Linked DNA regions of Kluyveromyces lactis. The protein of the gene in region 5 interacts with the protein of the main gene of each other region in a pairwise test. Links are inferred from orthologs where the notes say so. Each region holds a gene or a part of one and is shown on either strand. Other genes may lie near its edges.

What was found.
Region 1: the proteins of ATG17 (region 5) and ATG1 interact in a two-hybrid assay, tested with the Saccharomyces cerevisiae proteins (2 studies listed by BioGRID). The link is inferred for Kluyveromyces lactis from reciprocal best matches to the Saccharomyces cerevisiae genes ATG17 and ATG1.
Region 2: the proteins of ATG17 (region 5) and DAM1 interact in a two-hybrid assay, tested with the Saccharomyces cerevisiae proteins (2 studies listed by BioGRID). The link is inferred for Kluyveromyces lactis from reciprocal best matches to the Saccharomyces cerevisiae genes ATG17 and DAM1.
Region 3: the proteins of ATG17 (region 5) and IES5 interact in a two-hybrid assay, tested with the Saccharomyces cerevisiae proteins (2 studies listed by BioGRID). The link is inferred for Kluyveromyces lactis from reciprocal best matches to the Saccharomyces cerevisiae genes ATG17 and IES5.
Region 4: the proteins of ATG17 (region 5) and TEM1 interact in a two-hybrid assay, tested with the Saccharomyces cerevisiae proteins (2 studies listed by BioGRID). The link is inferred for Kluyveromyces lactis from reciprocal best matches to the Saccharomyces cerevisiae genes ATG17 and TEM1.
Region 6: the proteins of ATG17 (region 5) and DAD2 interact in a two-hybrid assay, tested with the Saccharomyces cerevisiae proteins (2 studies listed by BioGRID). The link is inferred for Kluyveromyces lactis from reciprocal best matches to the Saccharomyces cerevisiae genes ATG17 and DAD2.
Region 7: the proteins of ATG17 (region 5) and NUP82 interact in a two-hybrid assay, tested with the Saccharomyces cerevisiae proteins (2 studies listed by BioGRID). The link is inferred for Kluyveromyces lactis from reciprocal best matches to the Saccharomyces cerevisiae genes ATG17 and NUP82.

Annotation. Positions count from the first base shown.
Region 1 is NC_006039.1:1,497,616-1,501,804, reverse strand, and holds ATG1 (serine/threonine protein kinase ATG1), read right to left. Parts: upstream 2,847-4,189; coding exon 351-2,846; downstream 1-350. Other genes in the region: KLLA0_C17182g (uncharacterized protein), read left to right, coding at 1-72; GTS1 (Gts1p), read right to left, coding at 3,409-4,189. UniProt on the Saccharomyces cerevisiae protein: Serine/threonine protein kinase involved in the cytoplasm to vacuole transport (Cvt) and found to be essential in autophagy, where it is required for the formation of autophagosomes.
Region 2 is NC_006038.1:999,380-1,002,200, forward strand, and holds DAM1 (Dam1p), read right to left. Parts: upstream 1,453-2,821; coding exon 511-1,452; downstream 1-510. Other genes in the region: cytochrome oxidase assembly protein SHY1, read right to left, coding at 1,936-2,821. UniProt on the Saccharomyces cerevisiae protein: Component of the DASH complex that connects microtubules with kinetochores and couples microtubule depolymerisation to chromosome movement; it is involved in retrieving kinetochores to the spindle poles before their re-orientation on the spindle in early mitosis and allows microtubule depolymerization to pull chromosomes apart and resist detachment during anaphase.
Region 3 is NC_006041.1:1,787,833-1,790,193, reverse strand, and holds IES5 (Ies5p), read right to left. Parts: upstream 860-2,361; coding exon 506-859; downstream 1-505. Other genes in the region: TORC2 complex subunit TSC11, read left to right, coding at 1-486; KLLA0_E20087g (uncharacterized protein), read left to right, coding at 1,124-1,498; MET6 (5-methyltetrahydropteroyltriglutamate-homocysteine S-methyltransferase), read left to right, coding at 1,882-2,361.
Region 4 is NC_006038.1:457,077-459,755, reverse strand, and holds TEM1 (Ras family GTPase TEM1), read left to right. Parts: upstream 1-1,476; coding exon 1,477-2,148; downstream 2,149-2,679. Other genes in the region: RPS1B (40S ribosomal protein eS1), read right to left, coding at 1-585; ORC1 (origin recognition complex subunit 1), read right to left, coding at 2,379-2,679.
Region 5 is NC_006040.1:232,194-235,185, reverse strand, and holds ATG17 (protein kinase regulatory subunit ATG17), read right to left. Parts: upstream 1,806-2,992; coding exon 534-1,805; downstream 1-533. Other genes in the region: threonine--tRNA ligase MST1, read left to right, coding at 1-425; mRNA splicing protein SPP382, read left to right, coding at 2,020-2,992. UniProt on the Saccharomyces cerevisiae protein: Autophagy-specific protein that functions with ATG13, ATG29, and CIS1/ATG31 in response to autophagy-inducing signals as a scaffold to recruit other ATG proteins to organize pre-autophagosomal structure (PAS) formation.
Region 6 is NC_006037.1:700,801-702,976, reverse strand, and holds DAD2 (Dad2p), read right to left. Parts: upstream 932-2,176; coding exon 533-931; downstream 1-532. Other genes in the region: NUP133 (Nup133p), read left to right, coding at 1-444; SGO1 (Sgo1p), read left to right, coding at 1,468-2,176. UniProt on the Saccharomyces cerevisiae protein: Component of the DASH complex that connects microtubules with kinetochores and couples microtubule depolymerisation to chromosome movement; it is involved in retrieving kinetochores to the spindle poles before their re-orientation on the spindle in early mitosis and allows microtubule depolymerization to pull chromosomes apart and resist detachment during anaphase.
Region 7 is NC_006042.1:156,060-160,061, forward strand, and holds NUP82 (linker nucleoporin NUP82), read right to left. Parts: upstream 2,614-4,002; coding exon 550-2,613; downstream 1-549. Other genes in the region: SDH8 (Sdh8p), read left to right, coding at 8-403; MRPL37 (mitochondrial 54S ribosomal protein mL54), read right to left, coding at 2,908-3,204; mannose-ethanolamine phosphotransferase LAS21, read right to left, coding at 3,410-4,002. UniProt on the Saccharomyces cerevisiae protein: Functions as a component of the nuclear pore complex (NPC).

The DNA.
Region 1 (4,189 bases), on a different chromosome or scaffold from region 5:
AATCAACGGAGGATTCAGGAAGAACAACAACGTACAAACCAAGGCTCCAATAGTACTATAGAGGTCCTTTGAGCGACATTTGAGTTATTTTGTCAAAAGTTGAAACGCTTTATATTTGCATCTCCCGTTTTGTTTCGTATTTGAAGTTTGGAAATTTTTAATTTGGTATTTAATTTATTATAATAAGTCATTCTATTCATAGATATAATCTTATTTTACTACTAAACGATATCGGTATCGTTTCAAAAAAAAAGTAGTAAGTGTTTAATGGAAAAAACCCTAATCCATATATATATAATCATTATATAAAATGTAAATTGTAAAAAACCCAATCCAAAAGATGATCAATCCTAAACCATTTTGGATTTTAGTGCCTTTAACCTATTAGCAATACTTGAAATGTATTTCTTTATCATTTCCTTATCTGATTCGTCTAAGGAGGTGATATTTGATGCATACTCGTCATCATAGACTTCGTTGAATTGAAAATTTTCGTCCAGCAAAATTTCTAACATCCATAATGAAGTAGCATAGGCTAGTTCACAAGTATTGTAATTCCCACTTTCCATTTCCATTCTTGCAGCATTTCTAGATATATCTAAAGCACGATCGTATATTAACTTTTCAACAAAAATTACAGGGTCATCATCTGACCATTGGGAATTTGGTGATGTATTAATAGCATGGAGCTTTAAACGCAAAAATTCAGCCTTGTCTAAGCATTCGTTAAAGCGATCTCTAATCCACTGCACCAAAATGTTTAGCTTCAAAGTGCAGTTTTTACTTTCATTTTCATACCACCATTTTGATGTTAATTTCATTGAAGCAGCTAAAATAGTAAGAGCTTTTAGATAAAGAAGTAAAGATTCGGTGCACAACTTTTTCAACTCGGGGGCCGGTATTTGAGTGTCAACATTGGTGGCTGATGAAATCTTTGTTGTTGCTGAGGTCAAAGTTTGATTAGAAGGTGGGCGGCCTTGATCCAAATCTTCTTCATCCTCTATCGCGCAACTTCCGTTACTTAGACGTTTATCTGACAGTGGGTCATAGTCGGTTGAAGAAGGAGGAGTTGGAAGAATTTGAGAGAATTTCATTTCAGCGAACGAATACATGACAAATGCTTTGGCCGCAAGCGATTCCACTGCAGGAGTTATGTTGGAATCCAACATTTGTTCGCTGAAAGGATTTAGTTTATGATCAGCCCTCAATACTGCATTTTCCGTTAGCTCCTGAAATATCTGAGGATTCAGTAGTGTTTGTTGAGGTGGCGAAGAAGTAGCCTTTGTATTATGTTGATATCCGAAAAGCCTTACAGAAGCTAACCCTAGTGCCTTCGATAACGCATTCGACGGGCTTAATGACGATATCGAAAGCCTTCTCTCCACTAAAGAGGCTCTTCTTCCTCCTGATGCATCGCTAGAAGAAGACGTTCTGTATCTCAAGGGTTTTATAACTTGTGCCCCTTGGTTGTTTGTTATGGGTCCATTATTAGCAAAATCATCAGCCAAAGAATTTACTTCGACAGTTTTCTTCTCCACAACAACATACTCCTTCTCCAAAATCAAATCATTGTAAGAGCTCTTTAGCCTCTTCTGACTTGCAGATTGGTAGCTTTGTTCTGGGTTTTGAGAGTTATCTTCTGGGTGGATCTGTTGATGTGGTGGATGGTTTGTTGCGAGCCTCTCTTTACCTGAGGTTCGCCTAACGCCAGTTTGTACACTAGTGTTCTCGTCAGTTTGAGTTGGTGGTATATGTGCAGATTCCTGCTGCTTTAATGGTTTGACTAGATATTCTGAAACAAACATATTACTTTCAGCGACATCTTTACTCTTGGATTCTAAGTCTGGCTCATACGATTGCTCGTACCTTGTCAAATCTTCTGTCACTACTTCGTTATTGAAAAAATCAGTGAACCCCATACGGGAATCCGGGTCAAAAGTTAGCAACCCTCTTATTAGATTGAACAGTTTCGGTTCAATATAGCAATTTGAGGGCACTGTAATCTCATCGTTGGCCTTTTTAATCTTTTGAAACAACTCGAGATGGTTTGATGCTTTAAAAGGCGGTCTCCCGCAACACATTTCGTATAGCACCGTTCCTACTGACCAAAGATCAGCCTTGGCATTGTATTTTTGATAGTTTAATATTTCTGGAGCCATGTACAATGGTGACCCGCATAAAGTTTCTGCTAGAGAAGTATTAGGCAAGAATCTAGCGAACCCAAAATCCGCGATTTTCAAGATGGGTAAATTGTAGATTCCCACAAACCCCAACTCATGAAACGTCTTCGGATCATTATAATCTAATAACGGTGTGCATAACAATAAATTCTGTGGCTTGATATCTCTGTGTACTAGATTCTTAGATCGCAAAAACTTAAGCGCAGAGGATAGTTGTTGTAAATAGTTTACCACAAGAACCCGATTTAATCCATTATGTTCCGTACTTGGTGGCGGGTAATGTTCAAAAACAGTCTTTATCAAAGGATGCTTGAGCACTAGGTTCTTCCTCTTCTTTATGAAAAACGTTAAATCACCTAGTGCACAGTATTCCATGATCAAATAGAAATCAGATGAAGTCCGCTCACAATCTATTAACCCCACAATATGCGGATGTTTGATCTTCTTTAAAATGGCAATTTCGACCTCCAAATTCTCCAAAAGCTTCTTGTTCTTTAGCTTCGACCTCGACACGGCCTTGATAGCTATGTTTCTCCCATCTCTTAACGATAGACCTTTGTAAACAACCGCGAATGAACCCTTACCGATCTCCTTCTCCACGGAATAGTTTTCTGTCGGCAAACGAATGGCTTTCGCCACAACTTTGTCGTGCGATTCTGAACTCATGCTCAACCGCTTTCCATATGACTACTCAGTGCCAGACCGTTGTCATTCTTTGGCCTCTTTCTTTACAAGGGGGGGCGTTCTTATTTCTTATAAATGGTTTTTAAGGATCAAAACTTAGTTTGTAATAAGTCATTTTGAACTTTATATAGAAATAAAGAAACAAAGAAGGAAAGACAGATATATCGCAGAAAACGTACACAGTAAAGGCAGTGGAAAGACACTGGTGCTTGGTGGAACGGTTTTAAGAAAACGCTCGTTAAGTGCAAATAAGATATGATTGGTTATGAGTCAATGGGAGGTTTTTTTTTTGATGGTCAGTAAGATAATAGTGGTGATAGCTAGGTAGTAAGTAGATCGTGGATGTTCCGGATAAGAGTGTATAGCAGACGTTGTGAAACGTCAGAGGAGGAAGACAAAGTTAGATATTAGTTGTAGCGGTGTTTTGGTTTTAGCCATATTTACGTATTATATAGGCAAACATAGGTATGAGAGATTAAACCGTAGTGCGGTAGCAGATGTGCAGTTGCAGCTGCAGCTGCAAAGAAGGCCAAGGGATGATGATCTATTGGAATGGGGGGTAGAATTGTTGTTGGTACTGTTGTGGTTGTTGGTATTGCATTTGTTGTAACTGTTGTTGCTGCAGGAGCTGTTGCTGTTGCTGCTGTTGTAGCTGCTGTTGTTGTAGCAGTTGCTGTTGCTGCTGTTGTTGGTCCTGCTGTTGTTTTTGGAGATTCAGGATCTGTTGGTATTGTGGATTATCCGGTTTGATTTCTACGGCACTAGAATATAAATCTGGTCTTTGATACAGTGATAATAGTGTGTTCTTATCTATCGATGGTTGAGCAGTGAATTGAGGCTGTACCTGTTGGGTGAACTGAGGTTGTAATTGCTGTGTGAATTGGGGTTGCACTTGTTGTGTAAACTGAGGTTGAACCTGTTGTGTAAACTGAGGTTGAACTTGTTGTGCCAATGCTTGTACCTGGGCCTGCTGCATTGCCGCATAGGAGTTTTGATCTACATAAATTTGGCCGGTAGTTGGATCATAGTATTGTTGTACCCCATCGAATACTGCTGGGCGAGGTTCTGCCGATGCTGTACTAGGTAGGCTTGGTTCACTTGTTCCATCGAAAACGGCTTCTTGCACTTTGTTGTCCGGCCTTTTTGGAAGCGGAGGTCTGTCTCCTTCTCTTGATCTTGGTCTACTGCTGGCAGATGAGGCAGAACGGTTTCTTCTGGACCCGGACGCAGATGATGGGCGGGATGACTTGTAGTCCAATTGTGACGAATCATCCTCTAGATTGAAATCTTCCACCTTGACAGCGGTATGTCTGAACTTACCCTTT
Region 2 (2,821 bases), on a different chromosome or scaffold from region 5:
ACAAAGAGTTAAAATCAACAAAAAAACATCAATGTTTCTGGTGTGTAACCGTCAGCAGCTAGAATGGAACTGATCAAGATGTATGGCTAAACACTTATATGCCACTTTCTTATATTTAAAATGTACAACCAATACCTTCTCAAAATCTTCTCATCTCATTCTTTATGTTAGCTCTTTCATTGATTTATGTTCTCTGTAACTTCGGTCATTTTTCTTCACAGAATTCCTTGCAGAATGAAATGAAGAGGGCGGCCTTTATTTGCTCAATAAGCTCAACTCGAATAAAAGTAAATCGAACGAGACTTCACTTGAAACGAGAACGTTCATGTATCACTGATAAGCGGTAAGAGCAGCCTCATAGAGCACTTCAATCTTTACTGAGTACCTTCAGTAATTTTTTTTTCTTCATTTTGTTAACTGACGTTGTAATATTACATTGTTTGGTAGATATACACACGGTATGAATATGTATCTAGAAAAAAGCTCTGGTAAGAAGTATCAAATAACTCGTTACCTGAAAGGAGGCCTGCTTGCAAGGTTTTTTGGATTATAGGTTCTCTGTCTTGTTCTTACAACTCTATTCGGTAGAGCGGGCTCTGTATTTGTAGATTCACGATTAGCAGAAGAGGCAGAGCCAGCGGTAGTCGATGATCCTGCCAAGATAGGAATTCTTTTTGCACTGACTGCTAGTGATCTTTTTCTTTCTCCAGGAGTAATACCTGTTAGTGTATTAGGTATAGTGCCTATTGCAGCGTTGTTTCGTATTTGATGTAGAATGGATCTTCTTCTGAGTTTCGATGACGCGGAGCCTACCGTTTGTTTTCCCATAAAGTCAGTTGAAGCTCCTACTGAAGATATCATTTGAGGTTTGAAAGTAGTTGGGTTGGATACAAACGAAGCGGCTGTGTTATCTTCGTCATCGTTAATGTCAATGTTAACATTCGAGCTTGCAGTAGAACCTGGCACATTTTCATCACGATACAACATCTGAGAACCTCGTGATAAAGGTTGTCTTGAAAGAGGTAATATGCTTCCTTTGGTAAGTTCCTTTGGCTTGAGTTTCGCCTGTAGTGCTTGTCTTTCTTGTTTCAACTCTTCTAGTCTTTGGATTAATTTCAATTCATGCGGAGTATCATGAGATATGTTCGGGAAATCAACACACCAAGAGTTACACATCAATCCGTATAATAAAGCGCTTAGAGCCTCATTTAAATCCGCTATCGATTCATGAATGAAATTCATGTGCGTCATGTTACCATCGAGTGTTACCATCGAGTCCGAAAGTTCCTGTAATTGTGGGAGCACGTATTTTTCAATCATTGTTTGATTTGACGCATGCTGATCTCGACCGTTGTTGCCTAAACTAGATCTTCTTGAGCTTGCATTAGATGACAAAGATAGTCTATATTCAGTTGGCCTGTCCCGCTGTGGAGTATTTGGCCTTTGAGACATATCTTATGAGCAGATGAATCCAGCAGTTTTATGTTGAGTTTGGAATAGTGCCAAGTAGCCCTGAGAATTTAAGATGAAAGGTCAAAAAAAAAAAAAACAAGTAATGAATTTACCTCAGACTGTCTATGAGATGTCAAATTAGATACCAGGTTGCCCAAAGAGACACTATCGCATTCCGTCTGTCTGCTTGGAGACACCTTACTGTTCGTGTTTTTGTTTTGCTTTACTTTATTTACGTTTTCGATTTTCGATGTACAAGTATTTCAACGATAGTTAGTTAGTATTCATCAACAGGAATGAAAATCATTCAAAATAGCTATAATAGTATTTACAGGTACAAACAAGGTTGATACTACTATGTGTTTAGTAATTAACTGCTTGAATATAATTTATTGGAATTTGAGTATCTCGAATACTAGAAAATTGAAGGAAATGATGGGATCGAGATAGAAATTCCTGAGAATATCAATATGTGTTTCTTTATCACATGAACTTCTTGGCATGTTTTAGCTTTTGCCTCTTTATTTCATCCTGTGACATAGCGGAACCACGACCACGTCTTAGTGCAATGATAAGGAAGATAGATGAAAGCAGAGATAACCCATACCAAGTAATTAAATATTGTAAATGATTATTCTTCAAATCAATCTTTGGTGCTTTACCAATAGGCACTCCCGCTTTAACGAATTGGAACTCGTTAAATTCCAATCCTGTCTCCGAATCTGCTGTATTTACTTTCTTCGTGTTGACGTGTGGTTTCTCGGATTCTTCTTGTTGTGGTTCTGTTTCGGTTTTCTTTTTAGACCAGAATTTCCAAGATGATTGGTTTTTGTTATCGATACCCTCAGATTTTGATTCTTCATCCCAATGGTGATCTTTCAGATCGTAAAGAGCTTGGTAATGAATAGGAGAAGTATGTGTCATCTCTGTCATATCCTTAATATCCAAGACTTGCCACAATCTACTCTCCCTGTCTTCCTTCTTCCATTGCATTGATGTCAAATCTTTAGCTGCACGCACTAACACTGTAATTGTCACGTTATCGCCTTGAGGTAAAGACAAATGTTGCAAGTTACGAGATGATGGAACGATTTTCTCCTCCGAGATCCAACCACGTTCAATCAAAATTCTTTCTCCCGTATCCTTTCTGATGAAAGGCGTATATAAAACGTACCCCTTGATCCCTCCTCTAACACGGGGGCCGACAAAAATCTCTTCATCATGCAAGAATCTACCGGTCATAGTACACTTGCGGTATTCCCAGTCTTCGCACATATCCGGTGTAAACGTTTTAGGTAACGGAATAGGATCGTAGGTTAATTTGTCTTCGCAGGAAGCAATTAGATTGGTTTTCCATTTCAATCTTCTT
Region 3 (2,361 bases), on a different chromosome or scaffold from region 5:
AATGAACACAATCAGAACGCGGCGTCTATATGTAACAATGAACTGAATTCGAACATTATAGTTGGGGACCATGAGATCCCTTTAGACAACTTATTGGAATGGGAAAGATCCGAGACGTCTGTGAATCCCGACCAGCAGGAAGAGGACAAACAAGAATTGGAACGAGCGATCCGAGAGATATCCCAAACAAATGAGTCGAAACTGCCAGATGTGTTTGAAGATGACAAGATCAACAATAGGATCCTAAGGATAGTAAGCGATATGGGCAACAATATCCTTCTGAATGGTGCGATCAAAGAGATAACTGCTCTCCAGTCCAAGTATGGGCCTAGTAGATTCCAAAGCCCAGAAATGTTTGAACAAGTTTATGAATTATTGGGAGAGTACCGATTCAAACCCTCAGTTCGAAAATTTTTGTTGGAACTGTTCATCAACACACGAGCCGTTGAGAACATGATACGGAACGAGAGGAGAAGAAAAAGATAATTCAGGACAAGCCAAACTTTCATTCAGAACCATCCTTATATAGTAATGGAGTCATCTTAAATAATTCATAAGATTCTTGTAAAGCTTCTGGGATCTCGATTTCATCCAAGGGCAACGAGTTCACTTCTTCTAAACTCTTCAAAAGTGGTACCAGAGCATCCCAATCTTTAAACTTCTGATAATCTGGCTGTTGGAAGATGGGGTATCCATTTAAATTGATGTGAATAGGCTCACCTAATGATTCTAATACCTGGCAGACACTTGTAATCTTGCGAAGCAAGATACTGTAATCTTTCCTAAGAGAAACGTCTTGTTTCAGCAATTCTTCTCTTCTATTAAGAAGCTTCTTGTGCTCTACTTCCAAAGTCGGCATATTGGATGTTTGGTGGTAATAGCACTGAAACTGGAGAAAATCGTCTCACCTCGTAAATAGTTGTTCGAAGTTAAGAAGAAGAGTGATAATTGCTGGCTTAAATTTCTGCTGAAAGAGAGTTCCAATCGAGAGAGACAGTCTACTACTTCTGTAGGTCACGTGAAAATACATGTGACTTGGAAATGCTGTTCAGTTTGGAGCTCTTTCAATCAATCCGGGTAAGTATCACGAAGTCATCGTCACCATGTGAAAGAAAGGAGGAGGATGGTGTGGAAAAAAAAGGATCAAAATTGCTTTGGAAAAGTGCATAAAAACGCCACAACAAGCACAACCACCGCCCCAACCACACCCTTACAGACCAAATTGAGCCACATTGCAGTCCGAACCATTCCCCGTGACCGGTTAGCCATGACTACGGCACAGCACGTGACAGTTACCATTTGCCCAACCTACGTCGGTCTTATACCACACTATTTACGTCAAAACACCGTGCAGGAAACCATGTGGAAACCATTAGGCAAACCACATGTGAAATGCTGTGCGATTCGTGGGAAGTGTTATTTTGACGACATGTGCTTTTCTATGGTATCTGAGAGAGCCCCATCTCTGCAGAAAGAATCCTTTGGTGAATTGTGGTGAAAAGTTTTGTTCTGTTACGTTCCGATGAGCTCAAGTCAAAAGTAAGTAGTAGTAGCAGCAGTAGTAATAGTGGCAGTTTTGTAGTTGAGCAGATTTTTTCGTGGGAACGACTAGAGCAGCCGAAGGTAATTAAGACTCATCGTTTAAACGATGTTTGTTGGATCAGAAACTTCAGTCCAAAGAGGATCTGAAAAAAAATGTATATAAGCAGTCGACTCTTGATGTAATTTGAGGAGTGACAATTGTTCATCATTACAATAATAAAAGGAATTATGTGTACTTTGTTTAAATACAGATTTATTTCCTTTATCATTCAGTTTGAGTTTAATATCTTAAGCCAAACAAACCAATCACTAATCATACATTAGTTTGTCAATAACAAAATGGTTCAATCATACGTCTTAGGGTTCCCAAGAATTGGGCCAAACAGAGAATTGAAGAAGGCTACCGAAGGGTACTGGAACGGTAAGGTCTCTGCTGAACAATTACAACAAGTTGCTAAGGACATCAAGGCCTCTAACTGGAAGTTGCAAAAGGATGCTGGTGTCAATGTCATTGCTTCCAACGATTTCTCTTTCTACGATCAAGTCTTGGATCTTTCTCTATTGTTCAACGTTATCCCACAACGTTACTCTAAGTATGAATTGTCTCCATTGGACACTTACTTTGCTATGGCTAGAGGTTTGCAAAGAAAGGCTACCGAAACCACTGCTGCTGTTGATGTGCCAGCTTTGGAAATGGTTAAATGGTTTGACTCCAACTACCATTATGTCAGACCAACCTTCTCTAACTCTACTGAATTCAAATTGAACGGTCAAAAGCCAGTTGATGAATATTTGGAAGCTAAGCAATTGGGCGTTGAA
Region 4 (2,679 bases), on a different chromosome or scaffold from region 5:
CTTGTTAATAACTTCTGGAATCAACTTGGAAGTCAATTGAGCCAAAGTGGAGTTTTGAACTTCTCTGGTCAAGATTTCAGAAATAACCTTTCTGATTTGTCTGATGTGAGAAGATTGAGCGTAAGAAGTTCTCTTGACTTGGTTAGCTTGTTTTCTGGTGAAGGCAATAGCGAAGATTCTCAAAACGTAATCGTCAGAGGTCTTAACGGTAACATTGGCTTCAATCAAAGTTTGCCATTTTCTAACCATAGATCTCAACTTATCAGTGGTGAAATCCATACCGTGGAAGTTGGTCAACAAGTTCTTACCTTGGACTTCGTCAACTCTCAACTTGACCTTTCTGAAAGAGTGGTCTTCAGAACCTTGCAAGTCGGCCAAACAGACTTCGACAACACGACCCTTCAAAGAATCGGAAGCGTTCTTCAAACCAACAGACTTGTTGACCAAAGTCTTACCAACATTTCTGTTTTCAAAGGTGGATGGGGCCTTGATATCGTACCATTCCTTTCTGGTGAATGGGTCGACAACTCTCTTCTTCAAACCCTTCTTACCCTTGGACAATCTCTTGTTCTTACCAACAGCCATCTTGAATAAATGTTTATGGTACTTTTCTGGTTGATCTGCTTACTTTCGATAGAACCAAAGGAAATGATTACACTAACAAAATATAACTGTATCAAATAAAATAGCTGTTACAATAACTATCCAGTATCAAAATCTTATAAATTATTCTCTTCCTGCAATACAAAATTCATATTTCTTCAACTGTTACTATTTCGATAATTCAAAATTCAATATAATTGTCAATCGTCATTGAAAAATGGGACTCGATATTAGGAGGAAGACACCACAGCGAATGAAGCGCAAGCAGGCGAAACGATGGGGCGGGTGGTACGGACCGGTGTGAGAAAGACTGTAGGCGGAATGCCAATGGGAGATGCTAATGGGAATGGTGTAGTGAAGGGAGGGGAAAGGGAGTTACAGTCAGCCAGTGGAGGCTGGGAAGAGATTCCTACTGTGGAGCGTTCTGTCGAGCTAGGCCAGGAATTCCTGCCCTCTCAGCCTAGAGATTGAGCCTAATTTTTCGTGTTAGGCTCACCCGGTCACATGACAGCAGTAAACAAAGTTCCTATTTAGCAAAATATCTTACTGTTATGAAATTTGAAGATACACACAGTATGTATGGATGTAAAACTTATGAATACAATGGTGTCCGGATGTCAAAGCAACACGTGACCGCGAACAACAGTCCCAATGTTGTCATTTTCCATTTCTCATGCTACCATGATTTAAAGGTAAATAATGAGAATCTACACACATATCGGTATGCTCCATAACGACACATAGAAACATACAAATACGTGCTGATATCCAAGTTCAATTGTATCTTTTAAAACATCCTGTGTGCTACAGATATATACACACACAGAGCAGTGAGACAAGTCTACAGATAACACTCTTTTTTTTTTCGTTGCAATGTCTCTGGATAAAGATCGAGTACCGAGCCTTAGACACCAGGTCAAGGTGAAAGTTGGCCTGATAGGTGATGCACAAGTTGGAAAGACTTCTTTAATGGTCAAATACGTACAAAATGTGTTTGATGAGGAATATACGCAGACATTGGGGGTGCATTACCTCGAGCGGAAAGTGGTGCTGGGATCCACAGACGTTATATTCTCCATAATGGATCTTGGAGGTCAACGTGAATTTATCAATATGCTCCCTTTAGTATCCGAAGGTGCAGTTGCAATAGTATTTCTTTTCGATTTGACGCGGCCAGAGACTTTAAATTCGATAAAAGAATGGTACAGACAAGCAAGGGGGTTCAATGATACAGCAATTTCAATTCTGGTTGGAACTAAATATGACCTTTTCGTCGATATGGACCCCGAATATCAAGAAAATGTATCTAGAACTGCGATGAAATACGCTCAAGTTATGAAATCGCCTCTGATATTTTGCTCGACCCAATCATCAATCAACGTACAGAAAATATTTAAGGTCGTGATTGCAAAAGCTTTCAATCTAACTCTGAAAGTACCGGAATATAAACAGATCGGCGAGCCCTTACTGATATACAAATCATTCGGTCCTTCGCGACCTTCTTCTCCAAAAAGACAAGTGCATACCCCTCCGCCATCATCGTAAATCACCTACCTCCTATTACGTGATCAACGGTTTCATCTTGCCCGAAGCGGGAGGGTAAAGAATGAATAAACACGGTAAAATAGTAGTTAAAAAAATGCATCCTTTATTATATCTTTCTATCTTATAATTAAATAGTTGAAAAAGCAGTTTCATATTCTACTTAACCGCTACGCTACATGACAACCTAAGTAGCAATTATAATAGCAGCAAAGGCGTCTTGAAGGCATATACTAAAATGTCTTCAACATTTCATCTTCATGCAAGCATTGCTCCGCATCTTCCATGGAAATATTTAATTTGATCGTCGAGAGCCTCTCATTCTTCAAATATTGCCTTACTACAACACCTGCATCCAATAATTGCAATAAAATATAGTCCCAAGACACGGCCCTTAACTGTTCCTTTGTATCAACAGAATCATTTTGGAATAAAATCCGTTTCAACTCTAAAATGTATTTGTTATTCCCATTGACATCAATGAGGAGCCTCATTTCTTCTACGATATCACCAAGTTGTACGTCAGTTTGCTTC
Region 5 (2,992 bases):
GGGCTGTTTTCGGTTCGGTGGAAAGATTCATGGCCATTTTAATTGATTCAAGCAAAGGTAAATGGCCGTTTTGGTTGAATCCAAACCAATGTATGGTCATCCCAGTGAAGACTGAAGATGAGAAGATAATGGAATTGGCTTTCAAGACAGTCAACTCATTACGTGGTGAAAATAGTGATCCAAAAAGCCCAATTCCACTCAACAGCTTCCATTTCTCTGTTGATATGGATGCAAGAGATGAATCTGTAAGTAAAAGAATTAGAGAAGCCATCAAGAAGCATTATTCTTATATTATAATGATTGGTGACAAAGAAGTTGAAGCAGGCAAGGTGGCGATTAGAACCAGGGAGTCGAAGAAAGTGGATTTACTAACTATCGATGATGTCTTTGAAAGGTTCGTCGATCTTGAGAAAAATTATAAATGATACCTTGCAATTTTTGAACCACAGAAAGTAATGTTAACCATAACGATGTAAAAGATAATTTATACCTGTAAATATGTATACTTATGTATCAATAATAACACAATACCGTCAATTCGGTACATTATGTATGCTATATTCGAAACTATACATCGATTCCATATCGTCGATATAACCTGGCCAGATGTTTTCGGGAAGATAGTCACCATTTTCAAGTAAAAATTGCTGGCGTTGGTCCAAGTCAGCATCACTCAGTGCCTGTAGTTTCTCCTGACATTCCTTTAATATTTTCTCCATTTGTAACGCAGTGGCTTTCCGTCTGTCTCTTTCTCGTAGAAGGTTTTTATACCCTAATTTGAACTTATCGTAAAACTCACAGAGTTGTTGCACTTGTTCAATCTTTTTTATGCAAGATTCCTTATAAACGAATACTAAATTAGCAATCTTTTGGAAGATAGATAAGTATTCCTCACATTTTTCTAACTCTGTCACAATCTTGGAAGCCAGCAGATGGAATCCACCAATTTTGTCCATTATTTCACTTATTGTTTCATTGACTTTCTTTGAGAAAGCTTTCACTTCAAGTCCCGTTTCGAATACTAATTCCCTTATATTTTCTAACTGTGTATCGTCTTTCTTTACAATCTGGAAAAGTTCCTTCAAATCTGGTAGTGGAATCTGCTGTTCCTTCAATATCGTGCATTTGTCGAAATGATCAGTGATTGATCTCAAGAAATCGGCAAGTTCATTCTCAAATTCGTTCAATTCAGTGACATAATCACTTTCCAACAATTTGAATAGATTATTTTTGCTATCCCTGCTGAAATGTGAATCAAAGTAAGTTCTGAGTTTTTTCAACTTTACAGCCACTAGTTGGTTTTCTATTCGATCTTTTATCGATTTGTAGTGTTGTCGTATGTTTGTCACTTGTTGTTTTATAATAGGAATCTCATCGATTTTTTGTTGTAGTATGTCTACGTGATCCATGCATATGAAATCTGAAAGGCTACTGTGATCGTCAGTCAAGTCGTATTTTGTACCCTGCAAGATCTTCATCTTTGTTGTTATCTCGTTTTGCCAATAACTCACGTCATTGACTATCTCGACTAAAACCAGCTTTGACCATTCATTGTCAATCAACTCTGTAGAAATACATTTCTCGAGCATGATATTCTTGAAGAACTCAACCTGGTTCACCAAACAATTAAGTATAAATTTAAGTTTAAATCTGGACTTTTGAGAGCTGTCCATTTCAGTTCGCACTTTAGAGAGGATTTTTAATGATTCTTCACATTCGACTTGAGCTTCCACAAGCTGGTTTCTCGCCTTATTCCACAATTTATCTATCTCATCACTGGGTATAGTAGTTGCAGCATCACTCATTTCTTGTAGACGCAGTTCAGATCAACCGAAAGATCTTCATCTCTTCAACGTTTCCAATTTGAAACCCTTAAACGGTCAATTTCACTTCGAAGACTGAACTTCAAACCTTTAAATCTTTTCAAAGTATGAATAAATACCTATTAATCGGAGTAAAGATTGAAAGGAGTATCAGTCACTCCAAGTCAGCTATTACTACTCCAGTGATTCAGTATAGATGTCAGAACATATCAGTGACGATGATCAGTTCAAAAGAAGAAAGATCAGTATGACAATGAATAGTATGGTATTTACCGATCCATATGGATATAGCGATGACAATGAAGAACAAAAAGAAGAAGAAGACTATGAACCGGTACGACAAGCCAACTCCAATGATGGATTGAAAAGCGACCAGATGTTAAAGACCTATGGTATGGGTGCCAAGCTTTTATCAAAAATGGGTTACAAACAAGGTGAAGGTTTAGGACGAGATGGGAAAGGTATAGTGAACCCAATCGAAACAGTCACTCGTCCTAAAGGTGTCGGATTAGGGATGTTAAGTGCAGTACATGATAGAGATGACTCCAACTATAGTAATACTTCAGCATCATCAGATGAAAGTTCAAATAAAAAGAAAACAGTGGAGTTTAAGACTCGTCGTGCCACCCAGCTTGAGAAATTGATTCAAAATATAAGTCTCCTTGCGGAATTAAAAATAGAACTACCTGATACGGTGACAAGAACAATCAATGGTTCTGAATTACATGAAGAAGAGATTTCCTCTTTGAATGAAATTGCTAATAAGCTTCTGCAGCTTCATTCGGACATAGATAGAATACAAGTTGGCTTGGAAAAAGCTCAACTAGATGACGAGCGCAAAGTACACCAAGAGGAAAGGCTACAAAGTGTTTTAGAAAAAGTCAAGGAAAAACAACTTTCGCAACCAAGTCTTGAAGATCAGATTACTGAATGCCTAGAAATAAATGACGATGACATACTTGATAAGCTCTGTACCATGTTCTTGCTCAAAGAGCTTAATCGTGGAATTAATACGGCAGATATGCAGGTCGAAAAGTTGAACCATTTGAGGGCAGCAATAAGGTTTCTTTCATATAGAATGGAATCTGGATATATTTTGAACGAAACACAAAGCAGCATTTATAGGTTGGTGTATCAACCCTTATGTTATTGGTTAGATTCAAATACCG
Region 6 (2,176 bases), on a different chromosome or scaffold from region 5:
ACACTATTAAATCAAGATACTTCTTATGGATTTGCATTGAGTATCCTTGCCATTGATCACACGTTACCCACTGAAGTAAAAAAGTACTGCGAGTACCAGATCTGGAGAAGGTGTCTCTTATCCGATGAAAATGCGGTTAGACAAACTTTAAGGGTCTTTTTCAAGCAGCAGTTCTACCATCAAAGTATCGAACTTCCAATCATCGACAACTTGGCCAATGAGAAATTGATCACTGACTCATACCTGGATGGCATGTACCATGGACTAACCGATCTTAATAAATTAGCTAGCGACGTCAAACGAGAGGTTGCTCTTTTCGCTAATTCGAATTTGGACGTTACGATGTTACAATCCATCATTGGAGAAATCAACGAGGAAACCGGTAACCAATGTGTCATCAATTACGCAACTAACACAATCGAGACAAGTCCCACATCTTTCTAATTCAATAATAGAAGAAGGTGCCACACCAATTAATTGTACATAGTATAAAACCTGTTTATACACCATATGTATATATTCAATAAAAACGTTATTCAACGTCATCTGCAACTTTCACCCGTACCAAAGTTTCCGGAAGCGGAGGTAATTGATCCTGTTGCCGCTGCTGGTTATCTTCTGAACTTTCTGACGCAGCACTTTCATCTTCAGCGCCCTGTTGGTTTCTATGTTCCTCTTTACTGGCCCATTTCCCAGTCTCATAGTCGTTTTCTGTATACTGAAGTAAAGATATCGAAGCCTGAGAGATAGACCGAAGAACCGAGTCCCAATTAGCCATTACGTCTTTAACAGTCACAGCATTGCTATTCATCTGCGCTACCTGAACGCTCAGCTCGTCCAATTGAGCCTTTAATTTCTGTGTCAATGCAGAAACATGCTTCAAATAATTCAATTCTCTTCTCTTAGTCTCGATCTCGGTTTCAAATGCCATACTGACAACTTTTTTTCAGGTGACCCAAACCTCTTACTCTTCAGCTAGAATATATCATCCAACTCGCTCCGAGAAGTGTCTATCTTAGCTGATAATTCTTGGTTCTTCTAGTCTTTGAAAGAATTCACATTGTAGAGATTAGTTCAAAGTCGTGATTTCATATTATTCCGATATTGAAATAAAGGAAGAAAACTCGAGAAAACCGACTTGTATCAGGGGAGATTGATCTATACAAGCTACGCTAAGCATTAACACCGCTATTTAGAATGAACGAAGGGTTGGATAACATCAAATTGCCCATTACATGTCCAACTTACCTCATTTGAATTAAATGTAGTACTAAATATGATCCGGGTAATCTTGTTTTTTTGTGTTTACATCGTAGAACAAAACGTAAACAATGAAAACATTCAAAGCTTTAGATCTCATTCAGCGTTTAAATAACCTGTTCATTGACTGAAAGAAGAGCGATTCCTAAGTCTATAGGGACCCGAATTGACGGCGGATAGTGTTACTAAGTTTTGTGAGAGTGCAACATGAGCGCTTCTTCGCAGTACGATGAATTTCAAGCTATGCTTGAGCAACAAAAGGGAATTTATTTACAGCAGAACAGTCAGCTTGCGAAATATAATTCCAGTCTTATGATGAAAATCACTGATATGGAGACTAAAGTGAGTGAATTGGTGCAAGAGAATGTTTCCTTACGGTCGCGGCTTTCTATGGGTGAATTGCGCTATCGTGAGAAGCTCAATACTGTTTTCCAGACGTTAGAGGACGGAATTGTAGAAAAATTCTTGCAAATGAACCAATTGTTGACCACAGTACGGGAGAGCCAGGGTTTAGAATCAGGTATTCATGATAACCCTCTTAAACCGATTTTGAGAGGCTCGAATGGTATAAGCCCGAGATCTGCGAAGAAAGTGGAGTTTACTGGTGCAAATACCACAACGAAACCAGTTGGGTTTGAGGATCCAATTGCGGAAGATAACCATGAAAATAGCGGGAATAGTCTCGAGCTGAATGATGATGAGGTACGACCTCTGAGAAAGAGGAGGCGTAAGAGTTCACGGAGAGAGTCGTTGTTCATTCCTGCAGATTTCGAGTTTAACGATGAGGACCCGGAACTAGAACTGAATCAACTGCCGATAACTGAGGATGAACCGCCGCCTAGTACTGCAGCCACCTCAGTACCTGAGGAAGAGTCTCAGGAGAACAAGCATACAAAAGAAGAGCGTGAAGACGAGG
Region 7 (4,002 bases), on a different chromosome or scaffold from region 5:
AACCTACATGCTTTCCAGTATAAGAAAACAAAGTGTAAGATTAGTCGGTCTAAGACCAGCCTTTGTCAGGTTGAATCAAATTAGAACATTTCAAGAAAGAAGAGCAGGTCCACCACCATTACCAAAGGAAGACCAGGAAGAGTTTGAAAGGCTGCAGAAGCTAGCGTCTTCTCAAGAAGCTATTGATTCTTATAATGCACAGTTTGAATCGGATCATACTATGGAATCGGTGAAATCGCCAATCTTGAAGAACGATATTGGTGGGTTTTCTCCAGAATTTATGAAGACTATACCAGAGTTCGAAGGCGAAAAGAATCCTAAAACAGGAGAAATTGGTGGACCAAAGCAGGATCCATTAAGGCATGGTGATTATTCTTTCAACGGAAGAGTCACCGATTTTTGAGCGCCATTCACACGTTAAAACAAAATTCGGTTAGTAGCATATTCACATAATGAAATGATATAAAAAGTAGCACATAATATAGTAAGGTATATGCCAGTTTTAAAACTAAAAACGAAAAAAAAAAGATATGTAGATGGTGATTGCTATTATACCGCTAGATCTTCAATGGATGCGCTTAACTCATTCATACAAGAATTGATGACCTTTTTGTCGTTCAGTAACATTTGTTGTAGGGAACTAAATTCTAGCTCGGAAAAGAAATCGTCTCCTTTAGTAGTTGATCTAAGCTGTGTGTCCAAAAACTCTAGTTCTTCGCGAAGTTTGTTTGTCAGATGTACATAGTTATTGAACTTTAATACCTGGTTTTTGATACTTTTGAACCACACTAGTTCGGCCTCGCTGATACTGCTTGTTCTTAATTTCTCGTTATTTTCTATACTGGAGAATGTCTCTTTTAACTTGTCAAGTCGTTTTTCCAACGTCTTGGACTTTTCCTCATACCTGGAATATCTTTCTTGGAGGTCTCCCAAGTTTCCGTTAAGTTTATTTCTCAACATTTCGATCTCGTTGGTTTTTCTTAATTGGCGATGGAGTTCAGCCACTTCTTCGTTGGATTTGTTGAACATTCTAAATAAAATCATCTGTCCCAACTTGACGCGCTTCATGGTTTCCTTGTAAAGTTCAGAAACCACTTCCAATTGACGTTCATTGGAATTGTTCTTCAAAGGGAGAGGAGCCAAAGAGTCCGGTATGCCTGAAATGAATCCATTGGCTTCTGTTTTATACTTCGTCAAAAGCATATCCAATTCCTTTCCAGACGTTGGCAACGATGGTTTATATGTATATTTCACTTCATCGGTTCTGTTTATGGGTTTCTGTGTGGTGCTCTTGTCGTTACTCTCGATGACCTTGAAGGAATTGCCGTTGTAAAGAATATCACCAGACAAGGTAGATAAAACACCGAGGAAAGTTCCTGAAACTGTTCTTATTTTATTTTCAAACTTAACATCATCAATGATAGAGAAGTCATGAAGCCTTATGCACTGTGCCAATGGTTCCAACCATGGCATTTCCATGATAGTCGTGGAGCTATCACCAGTAAATACTAATTTAGGTTCCGAGGAGTTTAGTAGTTGGCATTGACCTTTTGCATTGAACATTGTTATTACACTAAGGTTATTGAATGTAGTATTGGAGCGTAAACTCCAACTCATGACAATTTCAGAATCGGAGAACAACACAACGTTTGTTCCATCTATAAATTGAAGATTCAAAAGGCCCAAACGTTCTCCAACCGGTATGATTGTCAAGCCTGTGACCTCTTTCGCATTCAAAGCTGTCGGAAATTTTTTTATAATGAACGGGCCCTGTGGTACAGAGTTCCTGATTGCTTTGCTCGTGAATGTGTCTATACCATCATTTTTTTTATAGTTGTCGAAAAATTGAATTTGTTTCAATAGATCATGCTTTAAGGTGAGGTAATCGGATTCCACATCAGGATCTGAACCTGATATCAGCTTTAGCTGTTTATCGAGGCTATTGTATAAAGACAATGATTTGTGCAACATGTAATCCGCTAAAGAACCATTTTTCGTCCTTGATGTGACATTTGATGTATCATTACTGCGTAGGGAAAAATTCTTTGGTAGACACGGATGGATAGCATATATGTCACAGTAATTGAAGGAGCTCAGCAGATAAAGTGTCAAACCGGTTGGATCAAATGCAATGTCACAAACTGATTCCACATGGTCTGATAACCCAAATGATCTCGATTTACGATTGAAAACAGTGATAGATTCGGGTTCTAGGTCTTCAAGATCATAAATTCGAATTGTACTATCATCATGCAAAATAACGAAAGATAACCCATAAGTAGCCAGAGGATGCCATAATAGTTTTTTTATCCCTAGACTGGTATTGAAATGCTTTCTTAATCTAGATTGCTCATTCACTTCCATGACATAGAGCTCGCTGTTCGCATGAAATGCTACAAGGCCCCCCGACGGACTGATGACCATTTGTTCTGGAACGAATGGAAGCTCCACATTATAACTCCTGTATTGCGTTTCGTGGTCTGATTGCACTCTTAAGATGTTGTCCTGCCATAAATAAATAGTGTTGGAATTGTTGCAGACAAGACGGTCGGAAGGGTTCAGAGACACTTCCTGGAAGATTGCCTTCAAATCTTCTGTATTGAAGAGTAACATCCCACTATATTGGTTCAATATCCGGCAGTTAAAGTTATGGAAGAGAAGGTACCACAGTTAGATCGCCAGTTGATCTGTGTTACGTGTATTTCAAGAAGCGTGAGAGTAGTTCATCGTCGATATATTTTGAATATTTTGAACTTTAATAGTAAAAAAAAAAAAATACCTATAGCAGATCCAGTATTGCAGAAAAGGAAGTGTACGAAAGATATCAAAAAGTTATGTTAGATATGTGTCTTTATGTCATTTTTATATGTATATATATTTACAGGCGTGAATCATACTGTGGGTCCGTTAAATCTTTGCTAAGAAGTTATTTTGTTTGATGTTGGCACGGTTGGCTATCCTTAATTGTTTTTTTCTTAGCTTGATTGGATCAGCTGCTAGTTTTTCAGCTTGGACGTTGGCATCAAGCACTGTCCAGAGCCATTCAGGGTATTCGCTGTCTTCTAATGCCACGGGTTCCTTACCGGATTTCTTGATTTGTAAGTTCAATGGAGTGCCAGCTGGACATGATGACACGATCTTGGCAGCTTGGCCAGATGCCTCGCTTTTCACTTGGTTAAATAGCACGCGAGTCACTCTCAACATTTCTCTCTTTATATAATATGAAAAATAACCGATTTGTTATGGTGGGTATGTGGTTGCCGATACCAATTCGAACCTCAACAATAAGTTTTGGCAAGTTTGTCCTGCCTTGCGGCTATCAAAGTTCATGATCATTTACAGTCCAATTTGAATTTCTATGGTACAAAATGTTGATTTTATCGAAATTTTTCATTCAAAAACTAAGAATTCACAAAACGCCAAGCAGGGTAATGGCGAAATCCATGACGACATTATAGAGGGACCAGGCCGCGTAGTAGCATAGTTTCGGGCTAAACACGGACCAAATGAATAGGTGGTACCTTAGTGCAATGCACGCTATCATTAGACATGTTCCGGTGATATAGTAATGCTGCAAGCGTAGTGTCTTCTGTTTGTAGCTTTGAGGAATTAGTGAGAGAGCCCAGTAGATGGATGGTGCGTAGTTAGACAAGAACATTAATACACCAACAACGTATATGTTATAGTTGCTACTAACACCATTGTATGCATTAGTTAGATTGACAGTTGCAATGGAGTTCGTACCACCAAATTGGAAAAAAGTGAGGTTTTGTAGACATAATGAGAAAATTGGTGTGATGTCCGGTGTGACGCTAGTCAGTATTTCAAATATTAGAAACAATGGGATATTTGCAGATGAAGTTTGGAGCAACAAGACGAATTTTATAACACTCAGTAGTTTGTTTAACATATTGGTGCTTTTATTCAAGGCGTATTTCATGAAAAGAAGGATTATAATAGATACACCACATATTTGGAAGAAAATCCGAGCGATAGGCACTA